Linked DNA regions of Oryzias latipes. The protein of the gene in region 1 binds, or shares a complex with, the protein of each later gene. Links are inferred from orthologs where the notes say so. Each region holds a gene or a part of one and is shown in the gene's direction. Other genes may lie near its edges.

Region 1 (2,854 bases):
GTCCTATTTCACCGTATCTTTTTCTTCTAGTTACCCAAACTCTTGCTGATTGTATCAATATTCATAAATTAAAAGGCGTCTCAGTTCTTAATAAAGAAATGTTAATGAGTCAGTTTGCTGATGACACGACTCTCTTCTTCAGAGACAGCAGTCAGGTTTCCTGATCTCTGAACCGTATCCAGTCTGTCTCTGATGTCTCAGGTCTACGTCTCAGTCTGAACAAATAAGAACTTCTTTCTGTTGAAGATTGTGCTTTAGAATCTGCAACAGTCCTGTAATAGAAACTGTAACATATTTAGGCGTTAATATTTCCAAAAGTAGTTTAGAAAGATGCTCATTAAATTTCCCTCCCCCTCATTGATGAAGCCAAAAAACGTTTGAACCAAAGGCTTCAGAGAGACCAGAGTCTGAGGAAGGATTCACTCTCCACAGCAGAGGGGATTTCTAGACTGACTAATTCTGGACAATCAGACTCTGAAATCTATTGATCAAATGCTGCTAAACTTCATCTGGAAAAACCGGATTCATTATTTAAAAAATCTGTATTAATGAACTCCTATGAAAAAGGAGGCCTAAATTTTCTTGATCTTACTACTTTAAATAATACTTTTAAAATAAACTGGATGATATTTCAAAAATCCACTCTCCATTTGGAATATTTTCCCTCGTCACATGTTTGCTAAAGTAGCTTTTCTCCATTTTCTTCTGCTTTGTGATTATAATATCGACAGAATCCCAGTGAAAATCTCTGCTTTTCACAGATTCTTCTTTCTTATCTATAAACACAACTTTTCTCCTCATAAGTTTTTTATTTGGAATAACAGAGATATCCTTTACAAGAACAAATCTTTATTTTACAATCATTGGTTTGACAATAATATCCTACTGGGGACGCCGTTCCTACTGAATCTGTGAACTCTTTAAAAATACTGTACTTGATGCAAATATTCCCTTCATGTCTCTAAGTGACACTAATGTTGGAAAATCTTGTTTCAACTAAAGAATAACAAGATCATCCGTGTTTCAGCTAAACGTCATTTCTGTTCCTCTGCTGTTTTCTATTGGAGAACATTTATTCCTGACTCGTCCTGGAAAAATGTTTGGACCCTGAATCAGAAATGATTAATTAATAACAAGATGAGAGACGTCTGCTACAAACGTCTACATAGAATCTACCCCATAATCAATACATGCTCAGATAGAAGAAAACTATTGACTAAGTAAACAGGAAGTGTAGCGAAACAGACCGGAAGTCGCTTGGAAGGCCTGAAAGGCACCGCCCACCAGCCTACGTCAGCAGTCACGTGAAGGATCATCTTCCGGAAGAATGGTGAGTTCGCTCTCTGTCTCCGTGCCGCTTTTCCGAACCGAACCTCACCGAACCTCACGTGTGTTGTGTGCAGAGCACGGCGGCGCTGACGGCGGGTCTGGACCGGATCCCGGACCAGCTCGGGTACTTGGTGATCAGCGAGGACGGAGTTCTGGCGGTAAGTAGTATCCGGGCCCAGCTTTGTTACCGAACCGAACCTGAGCAGGCTCACCTGTGCAGTCGGCAGGTGAGCTGGAGAACGACGAGCACACGGCGAGCGTCATAATGCAGATGGTCCGGACCGCGAACCGCTTCCGGTTATCTGGATCTGCGGACCACTTCCGGTCACCCGGATCCGAGGACGTCCCGTTTAAGCGCATGTCCGGTAAGTCACACCTGACAGGTGAGCTCGGCTGGTGATGCCCCGCCCTGACTCGGTTCTGTTCGCAGTGGTTCTGGAGGACTTCGTCTTGGCGGTGACCGTTTCCGGTCAGAAGGTGTTTGTGGTCAAACGTCAGCACGCGCATCCTGAGCACGTCACAGCGTGAAGGCGGGGCCAGGCGGAGAGGACGACAGTCCACCTTTGGACCGAGTCGGAACCGACTTGCTCAGTAATGAACTGATGTGACCCACCAATCGCACAGAACTGGAGCAAGTTCTCTAAACAGTTTCGGTTCTGTTTGGATCATTGGACAGAACCCAGTTACGTTTAGGTTCTGGACCTTTACAGAACAAGGTCAGCTACAGTGGTTCTGAAGGCAGAGCGGAAGACCGATCCTGCAAAGGTTCTGCTGCATGTTTTGGATTCTGAAATAAAATCTTCATCTCCCAAAGAAACCAGATTTTCTGTCAGAACTTGTCATTTAAATAAAGTTTTAATGTTTTGAAAACTGATTCAAATAAACATACGAAAACCTGAAGTTTGTCTGATCCTTAACCAGATTCAGTTCTGAGACCGGTCTGGTCTAGAGTCTGCAGGTTCTGGTTCAGAACAAAGCCCACCAGCGTGACAAGAAAAAGCTTTATTGCGTCATCTTCTTCATCTCTTCTTCACATTAGGCAGGAATGACGGGGGCGCCGGTCCGGCTGTGGAATGACTCGTCACCTGCCCAGGTAGCTCTCACCTGCCCCAAGCCCCACCCCTCTCCCAAAACATCCTGTCACATGATCTGGATTTAAAACATGCGCATAAAAGAACAAACACCGGCAGAAGAAGAAGAGGATGATGGGAAACCTCAGAGTCTGTGACATCACTTCCTTCTACAGCTATAATTTAAAAAAAGAAAAAAAAAACAGGAACAGTCTGGCGGAAGGCTCCTCCTCTTCCTCTGTACACGGTGACATCATCAGTCAGCTGCTTAGCGTTTGGACAACTCATTGGACAGCCAGTCCAGCCCCTCGTACAGACCGGTCCCCTGAGTGGCACAGGTGGCCTGGACGTGCCACTGCAACACACAAACACACACATGTCAGGAGGAGCGGTTCTGACCCACGTCTGCTTAAGATCCCCCCCCATGGTTCTGGCTCCATAAGTCAGGGGGGCCA
Region 2 (3,653 bases), on another chromosome or scaffold:
GATTGATGCCCCAGGGTTAAAGCCCTGTCCCTTCTGACTACATGTATTTCAAAACCAGACACGCAGTGAACACCTATGAGCGAAGTAACCAGAAACCGTGCAGCTCTGCAGCCATACTTGTTCTTCAGCTGATCTAAAAGCAGAAAACAAGAAATTCTTTGCTGATGGTAACCTGTAGTTGGATTGTAAATCTCAAAACAAAAGCTACACTTCTTAAATATGTGAACGATTTTATATAATGACTTGCAGAACAATGCTTGGTAAACCACAGTGCCACAAATGTTGCCCCTCCATAGCTGCTCGTTTAAAATCGACAGGTCAGGTCACAGATTTACTGCGTGAAGTTCACCTGAACAGCTGCTGCAGGCTCAGACTAGATTTCACTCTTCACTTAATGCTGGCCAAGACTTCCTCACAATGGAAGCTTGTCATGGCACGAATGTGCGACATGGAGCGTGCGCTCAATGTGCCTTAAAAAGCCTCAGACAAGTTGATAATATGGGAATGACTGACGTGGATCCGGGTCATTTGATGCTGGCATCCAAAGTCTGATCTTCTGTACTGACGTAAAGACACTGAGAGACAGACGTGTGTTGGACGTAACGATTATTCATTCTTGTGGGTTCAAGCTGTGGCCACTGTAACTCTGCCCTACACTGATAAATTCATTATATTTCAAACCCAGATCTGACGGTTTTGGTTGTCCAACTCAGGACGACACCAATTCAAACTGTAAAGCTTAAGAAAACTTCACTACAGGTTTTCACAGACGTGTTTTTGTTGAAGGAGAAAAAATGTCCACCTTGAAACTTAGTGGTCAGTTTTCAACAATATCACTGTAACTGATCTTAAATGTCACTCCCCTGACATAACTGGGGAGGGCAGGTTGAAGGTTATGCAATGAAACCACTGAACTAAAAACAGCTTTCAGCATCTTATTTGCTTTGCTTTTTAAAGTCACATGCTATTTTTAAAAAATCAATTTATGCTAAGCCATGAAGTCCAGACATTTCTATTTTGCGTTTAAAAAAACAAACTAAAAACCTGCATCCCAATTAAAGGAGGGGGTCGCTGCCGAGCCAGTTCCTTTGATATCCTATTTAATATCTGTTCTTTTTGTTAAATGACTATTATAAAATCAGTTTTATTTGGTTATATAAAATGTTTTCACACAAATAAATGAAACAAAGGGGACATTTTTATCAACCTAGCAAGGAATTGGAACAGAAAAGCTATTTTTTTGCACAACACATCTAAAGACAAGTAATTTACAGATTTGAAGAATCAATTCAGCATTTTCTAAGGAAACATGAATTCAGGTTTCATTCTTTTTTATTAATACCAGCCCTAATTTTTGAAACTGTGTGGCACAGATGTTTTCCAACAGCCTGCAGCTGCTTTGTATGCATTATTCAGTGGCTCCTTTATAGGTCAGAGATCATGAGGTCAACCTGTTTACAGTCTGACATTTCCTGCACTGTCCAGTTGGACAAAGTCAGTCAGTTTAGCATTATCAGTCCCCATGATCAGGACGTTGGTCTTGTGACAGATCACAGGGCTGTCAGCAGCTGGTCCAGTCCCTTATTTTTGCTGAATTTGCTGAGAAAAGCAAGATTAAAATGATTCCTCAAGCAGCTCCGACTGGATTTGATTAGTTTTAGGTTTTTAAAGTCAGTTACTGGTGTATGTTTTTGAAGGATTTGGAACATTGTTCCGACGCCTTGCGAAAGCTTGGACCTTAGCCGAGACGAACTCCGGGAACACCCCATGCTCCATGGAAACTCCAGGCCCCCTTAACAGATGAGCCGATTCACATAAAGATATGCACATTCCCAGCCGCTGTGTGTGCATGCAGGATTGCGTGGACGTTTGCCTAACTGTCACAAACACCCAGCAGGGCTCTCCCAGAACCCTGGCGGGTGAACTGAGATCTCCTTTGTTTGTCTTCAGAAACAAAAACGCCTCTGTTCTCTTGTTCATTTTTATTTTCTCTCCCCATTCCCACTCCTGCTTTCATTCCTCCCTCGCCATACCTCATCTCCAGGATGACCATCTGTGACCTCTACACAATGCCCCGCGTGGCCGAGCCCGTCTGGTTGACTATGATGTCTGGCGCTTCGGAGAAGAACCAGCTCTGCGGTCAATTCATGAGGGAACTCTCCCTGCTGATGGAGCAGGCCTCCAAGAACCAGTTGAGTTTCTGCCTGTACTCACACCACCTTCCCCTTTAGGTTCTATTTCTGCCACGGAAGTGTCTTTCATGGGAAGAACGGTACCATAGAAACTAACTTTCAAACCATCACAGACGATGTTGGTCCTTCTCTTTAAGCTAATAGGTGGCAACATTTATCAAAGAAACATGTCAGCATTATAAAAAATGTTACTGGGCTAGTCTTAATTCAACATTGTCATCAGCAAAGAAACACAAGCAGACTCACACACTTACTGTTCATTCTCTCCCAACAAAAGCCTTCATTACACTAAACGAGCCTCATTTGCTGCGACTGACTGCATCTCCTGCCTTTCCTTGGTCCGTCTCCAAAGAGCTGTGAATAAGAAGCCTGCCAGTCTCTAACCGCTTATTGTCAAAGTTACAAAGCCAAGTCAAACTAATTGTAAGCGTCTGAATTGGTAGCAGGGCTTTTATTGAACATGCCTTACTTACTTGCTGCAGTTTATTTAGAGTGGAAATCTACTGAAAGTTTTCACTAAGGGTTTTTCAGTCTGTAATATATTTAATGAAGTTTAATGAGTGTATATATACCTATAACCTATATACTTTTAATCAATACTGCACTTCAATATTGATTACACTTCATCCAAGTGCATTTGGGTCGAGACATGTTTCCCTGACCCCAGCGGACTTGATGGCTGTCGAAGCTCTGTCCTGGCACGTGATGAAACAAGACTTTCGTGATCGGTTGAATCATGAGACAGGAAGGGAAGTAGACACTTGTGGTCAGAACTGGGAAGTGAATCATGCCGTTAGTGTGTGAGTTTGTCACAAGTGTGTGTACGTGTGTTGCAAAAGCAGAATGTGTTATGTGGTTTAGGAGAAACTCTCAAGATTTTCTGTGTGGCGACACCATGTTTCATAAGAGGGAACATGAGAACAGTAGTAATTTTAAAAAAAGTGAACTAATAGGAGACGATGTTTGTGTGTGCTGAATTGTGCTCAATGCATCTGATGTCCCCCAGATTCCTCCCTGCATTGTTGACCGCAGTCCTGACCAATCACCTGGCCTGGGTTCCCACGGTTATGCCAAATGGTCAGCCTCCAATCAAGATCTTCCTGGAGAAACACTCATCCCAGAGTGTTGACACGCTGGCAAAAACGCATCCCTACAACCCTCTGTGGGCACAGCTAGGTGAGTCTCACAGCTCGCCAAACTTGTCCTGATCTTCATTTTCCAGGGATTGTTTTAAATGTGTTAAAACATATCCTGCCTGAAGCATAATGATATCTTTAGTGTCCAATAAATATTTTTAATCTTTCAAAAAATATACTTTTTTAGTGTTAGTTTATGTATTTTAATGATTTAATCATCCTGCTGTTAAAGGGCAGTATATAATACTAAAATACGTTTTGAACATTTTTACCTTTTAAATATCTGCAATAATTTTTTTTGTAATTCTAGATGGGGGTCTTTAGA
Region 3 (4,241 bases), on another chromosome or scaffold:
AGGACCCTGGAGGTGACGACACCCACCTGAGCAATCCACACAGAAAGAAACAACCGATCTGGAGGAGGCAGCTCTGCTGAAAAAAGAACTAATGACTTTTATTGGGCAAATGTTACTGATGGATGGACTGACGACGGGCTTTCAGCAGGGACAGCAAGACAGTATAATAATCTATAATAAGGGATGTTACAATACCGGACAAATAAATCAATATATTGTATCTGATTGGAGACCAAATACTAATATTTTCTTGTAGGTGGCAGTAGCTGCGAAATATTTTAGCTGTGTTTAGAATAAGTTTAAAAGAAATTTCCAATTCAAAATAATTGGAAAATAAAGTTTTAGTCAACTTTATTGAAATATGTTGCCAGCACATTTCGATCAGTTGTAAGTAATGTTAGAATCTTCACTTAGTCCAGAACTATGATGGAGGTTCTAATATATTTTCTATCTACATTTTTCCCAGTCAAAAGAAGACAAAAAACATTAGACTTGGTTTGACCATGGATGAACCATGACGTCTGACCACCAGCAGGGGGAGCAGAGAGCACACGGCAGTTTAAAACAGCGAAGAAGAAGCGTCACGTGACAGCGAAGAAGAAGCGTCACGTGACTGCAGCTCTTTGGAAATTCACGGTGGTAGCATCAGCTGATTGTTTGTTTAAACGTTCAGAGGACCGAGCTCACTGTGGAAACGCTCCGGACGGGCTCGTCGTGTTTTGGATTCGGAGCCGGCGGTTCTCCTGACTTCCTGTGACGGAACCGGCTTGGGTCCTCGGAGCTGCCATGGCGGACGTGAGTCTGTCTGTCCTCCTTTAGCACCTCCTGTTCTGTTAGGCTTCACTAAAAACTCTTTAGTTTTTGGGAAGATGCTCAAAGTTCACTATTCTCTTCTAATTACAAAAACACACAGTATCATGTGGGATGGTTTGTAGGTGATAAATTATTTCATTTGGCATTTAATATTGTATTAATGTTTCATTCACAACAGCAAATTCTTAAAAAAAAATCAAACCATTACTTAATAAATTTTAGAGAGAGATATGTTTTTTTTAATCACTAAAGTTTATTAAAACAAAAGTGCAAAACAGATAAGCTGTGTAACAACCCTTAGTTTTATATTACATTTGTATTAGACTACAGTCCTAATTTTCATCTTTATTTCTTTCTGTTCTATACATGTGGATATGTTGTGTTAAAAACAGACGCTCTACAGAGGTCACGTGACATTTTTCCATTAACTGTTTATGAGAACTAGACTGGGTGACTCCTCCCCCTGGCTGTCCAAACAGGAAGTACCTGTTGGCTCCAAGAAGCCAGAATCCCATAGACTTCTTTGGAGAAATTAACAGCGGTTACTCGGTCACTATTGTCAGTAATGCTGGGTGAAAATGGTGGTGGGGAGACCAGGATCTTCTCTGACGGTTTGAAGCTCTAAAGCTCACAGACGTCCACGTTCTTGACTGTTTCTGAGGTTGCTCCTTAACTCTTTATGCTCCCGTCTGCAGGATCTGAAGAGGTTCCTGTACAAACAGATGCAGAGGTGAGGCTTTTGTCCCTTATTGTTATTGCACAAAGTGATTTACTTTAACTATATAACAAGAAAAAAAAATCTGTATTATAAATCAAATCTCTTTTCTCAAAAAAGAGTTTTTGTATCTTATATCACATGTAAATAGTAGTTTTCTGTGTCCTCAGTGTTGACGGGCTTCACGCTATCGTGGTGACGGACCGAGACGGCGTCCCGGTAATCAAAGGTGAGACTTCTTCTGTTTCGGGTTTTCTGTTCCAATAAACTGTGTTTTAATAACTTATTAGAAATACTTTTGGCCTCAGGGCCAACCTGCTACTCAACAGGAACGCTTTATCCTCAGCCTCAGCAGCTTCTTGTTGTGGCAGTAGTTTCATGGTTTGGGGTGACTCAGCTCTGGCTCCACTCGTACGAGTTTAGGTTAGAAGTCACCAAAGTAGAGCAGAAAATGGATCTAAAAGACTCATTCATCTGCATTTTAGGGGTCAAACTGTTGGGGATTTTTCTGACTTTTTTTTCTGGCCCTGGTCTTTGAACGCACCGCTCACCAGCAGGAAGTCCTCATCCTAACACGCCTGCTTGTTTTCCTCCAGTTGCCAACGACAGCGTTCCGGTGCACGCGCTCAGACCGGGCTTCCTGTCCACGTTCGCTCTGGCCACGGATCAGGGGAGCAAGCTGGGCCTCTCCAAGAACAAGAGCATCATCTGCTACTACAACACCTACCAGGTGACCCCTCCCAGCATCACCGCGTGGGGGCGTGGCAGCCGGAACACCGGCGCCTTTCACCCGCGCTCGCTTCATCCGGTTCCTGCCAGTTTGTGTCCGGTCCGGGTCAGATCCAGAACCAGACTCTAGTCTCCATCGTCTCTTATAGTAACAAACTTCCTGTTTGTAAACTTTTGGGGGTGGGATTAAGAGAATAGCCTCACATAAAAGCAGAGTGAGACGGACTGAAATGAGATGATCCATGGGAGTCGGATCACAACAGAAGCACTAGAGCAGGTTCTGTAAATGTCAGAGGGTTCTGAGAGTAAAGAAGAACTTCTGCTGGGACAGAGAGGAGAAAAGTCTGCAAACGTTATCCTCTGATGGAGCAGACAAAACGTCCAGCAGAGGAAAATCTCAGAATCTGTTGGTCTTCTTTTGTTTTTCATGATTTGTTAAGCCAGCTGAACTTTTTCCTGAGTTTTTTTAAGAAAAATCAGAGAAGTGAAAATATTTGGGTTTTTTTTATTGCTAAGTAAAAAAAAAAACCAAATCACTCTGATGGATTCCTTCTGCTCTGAACCAGCCTAACCCGGCCAATCTCCATGGTAACCAGACTCTGCTCTGGTTCTGCCTTTGTGACCCGTCTGCTGTCTCTGCTCGACAGATCATGCAGTTTAACCGCCTGCCGCTGGTCGTCAGCTTCATCGCCAGCAGCAGCGCCAACACAGGTGAGATGAGGAGGCGTGTCTGAGGAGCCCCGCCCACTGGTTATCTGCAGTCTGTTTGATGTTCTCTGAACAGAGCGTGTCTTAAAATGATCTCAGTCTTCATCTCCGTGCACCCCGCTGTTCGTGTGTAGCTTATTGCTGCATCGTGGGGAAGGAGAAATATCGCCATGGAAACGCAAAAACTTTTACCTGAGGCCTTTTCATCATCCAAATGAAAGAAAGCAGAGAAAGTGACTCAGCATCATCGTCCAAAATATGTTGCAATGTGGTAATACTGGCATTTAAAATACGGCTCAAGAGCCAAGAAGTTGAAGTTTATCTGAGAAAAAACCCGACATTTCAGATCATTTAGTCTGACGGGAATCTCCAGGAATGTTCTGGATTATATTTAGTGAAAAGAAGAAAAAAAGTTCTTGTCAAACCCCTTCTGACAAAAGATGAATCCTGTGAGTCTGACCCATCCTGCAGACTCAGGTGGGAGGGGCCTAATCAAAACCTAGAGTGAGCCCTCCCCCCCTGGCGTTCCAAACAGGAAGTACCTAATCCTACAGAGAAATAGACAGCTGTTACTCAGTCTTTTGATCCGAGTAAGTATTCTTACTCGGATACATTTTTTTTATGATCGTCATATTTTTCTGTGGTTCAAGTTATAAACTGACCAATCAGATAAGAGTATCCATTCGACAGATTTCATGTCTTTTAAGTGGTGGTAGGGGTGTGGAGTTCCAACAAGCTCACTCCTGATTGGTGAGAGTGGTTGCCATAGAAACATGGACTCAGATTGACTTATCGCTGCTTATATATCCTGAAAAAATGGCGAGTGAATTGACTTCATGTGGTTGGAGCTGGAGGTAAACCATTTTCTCTGTGTGATGTCACATTCAGTCCAGTGCTCATATGCAGTCAGGGGATTCTCCAGATAAACCTGATCCTGACCAGGGTAGGGTCAGATTGTTTCCATAGCAACAGACTCCAGTTAGGAGCCATCCAGCTTTGTGAAAATGAATCCATCTGGTTTTTCACACGAGTGGGAGGCGTTTTGTAAAAACCCTCCTTTTCTGTCCTCAGGCCTCATCATGACTCTGGAGAAGGAGCTGGCTCCTCTGATGGAGGAGCTGAGGCAGGTGGTGGAGGTCACATAAAGTCCCATGATGCTTTGCTAAGAAAACCCGCCTACAGTTTCTACCGTCGCCTCTGCTGCAAACTTCTCACCTTGCGTTGTCATTTCTAACTCTTGAATAAAAGCTTTTCCATCAGGAGCTCCACTGTTTGT

What was found.
Region 2: lamtor4 (region 1) and fnip1 share a complex: the UniProt entries of both Homo sapiens proteins name them as parts of the lysosomal folliculin complex. The link is inferred for Oryzias latipes from reciprocal best matches to the Homo sapiens genes LAMTOR4 and FNIP1.
Region 3: lamtor4 (region 1) and lamtor3 share a complex: the UniProt entries of both Homo sapiens proteins name them as parts of the ragulator complex. The link is inferred for Oryzias latipes from reciprocal best matches to the Homo sapiens genes LAMTOR4 and LAMTOR3.

What each region holds. Positions count from the first base shown.
Region 1 is NC_019881.2:23,888,064-23,890,917, forward strand, and holds lamtor4 (ragulator complex protein LAMTOR4), read left to right. Parts: upstream 1-1,221; 5' UTR 1,222-1,327; coding exon 1,328-1,330; intron 1,331-1,403; coding exon 1,404-1,487; intron 1,488-1,549; coding exon 1,550-1,694; intron 1,695-1,759; coding exon 1,760-1,857; 3' UTR 1,858-2,218; downstream 2,219-2,854. Other genes in the region: ADP-ribosylation factor 4, read right to left, coding at 2,668-2,754. UniProt on the Homo sapiens protein: As part of the Ragulator complex it is involved in amino acid sensing and activation of mTORC1, a signaling complex promoting cell growth in response to growth factors, energy levels, and amino acids.
Region 2 is NC_019872.2:4,893,500-4,897,152, reverse strand, and holds part of fnip1 (folliculin-interacting protein 1), read left to right. Parts: intron 1-2,044; coding exon 2,045-2,191; intron 2,192-3,198; coding exon 3,199-3,368; intron 3,369-3,653. UniProt on the Homo sapiens protein: Binding partner of the GTPase-activating protein FLCN: involved in the cellular response to amino acid availability by regulating the non-canonical mTORC1 signaling cascade controlling the MiT/TFE factors TFEB and TFE3.
Region 3 is NC_019880.2:24,349,409-24,353,649, forward strand, and holds lamtor3 (ragulator complex protein LAMTOR3), read left to right. Parts: upstream 1-1,325; 5' UTR 1,326-1,391; coding exon 1,392-1,424; intron 1,425-1,508; coding exon 1,509-1,543; intron 1,544-1,698; coding exon 1,699-1,757; intron 1,758-2,124; coding exon 2,125-2,258; intron 2,259-2,904; coding exon 2,905-2,968; intron 2,969-4,036; coding exon 4,037-4,110; 3' UTR 4,111-4,227; downstream 4,228-4,241. UniProt on the Homo sapiens protein: As part of the Ragulator complex it is involved in amino acid sensing and activation of mTORC1, a signaling complex promoting cell growth in response to growth factors, energy levels, and amino acids.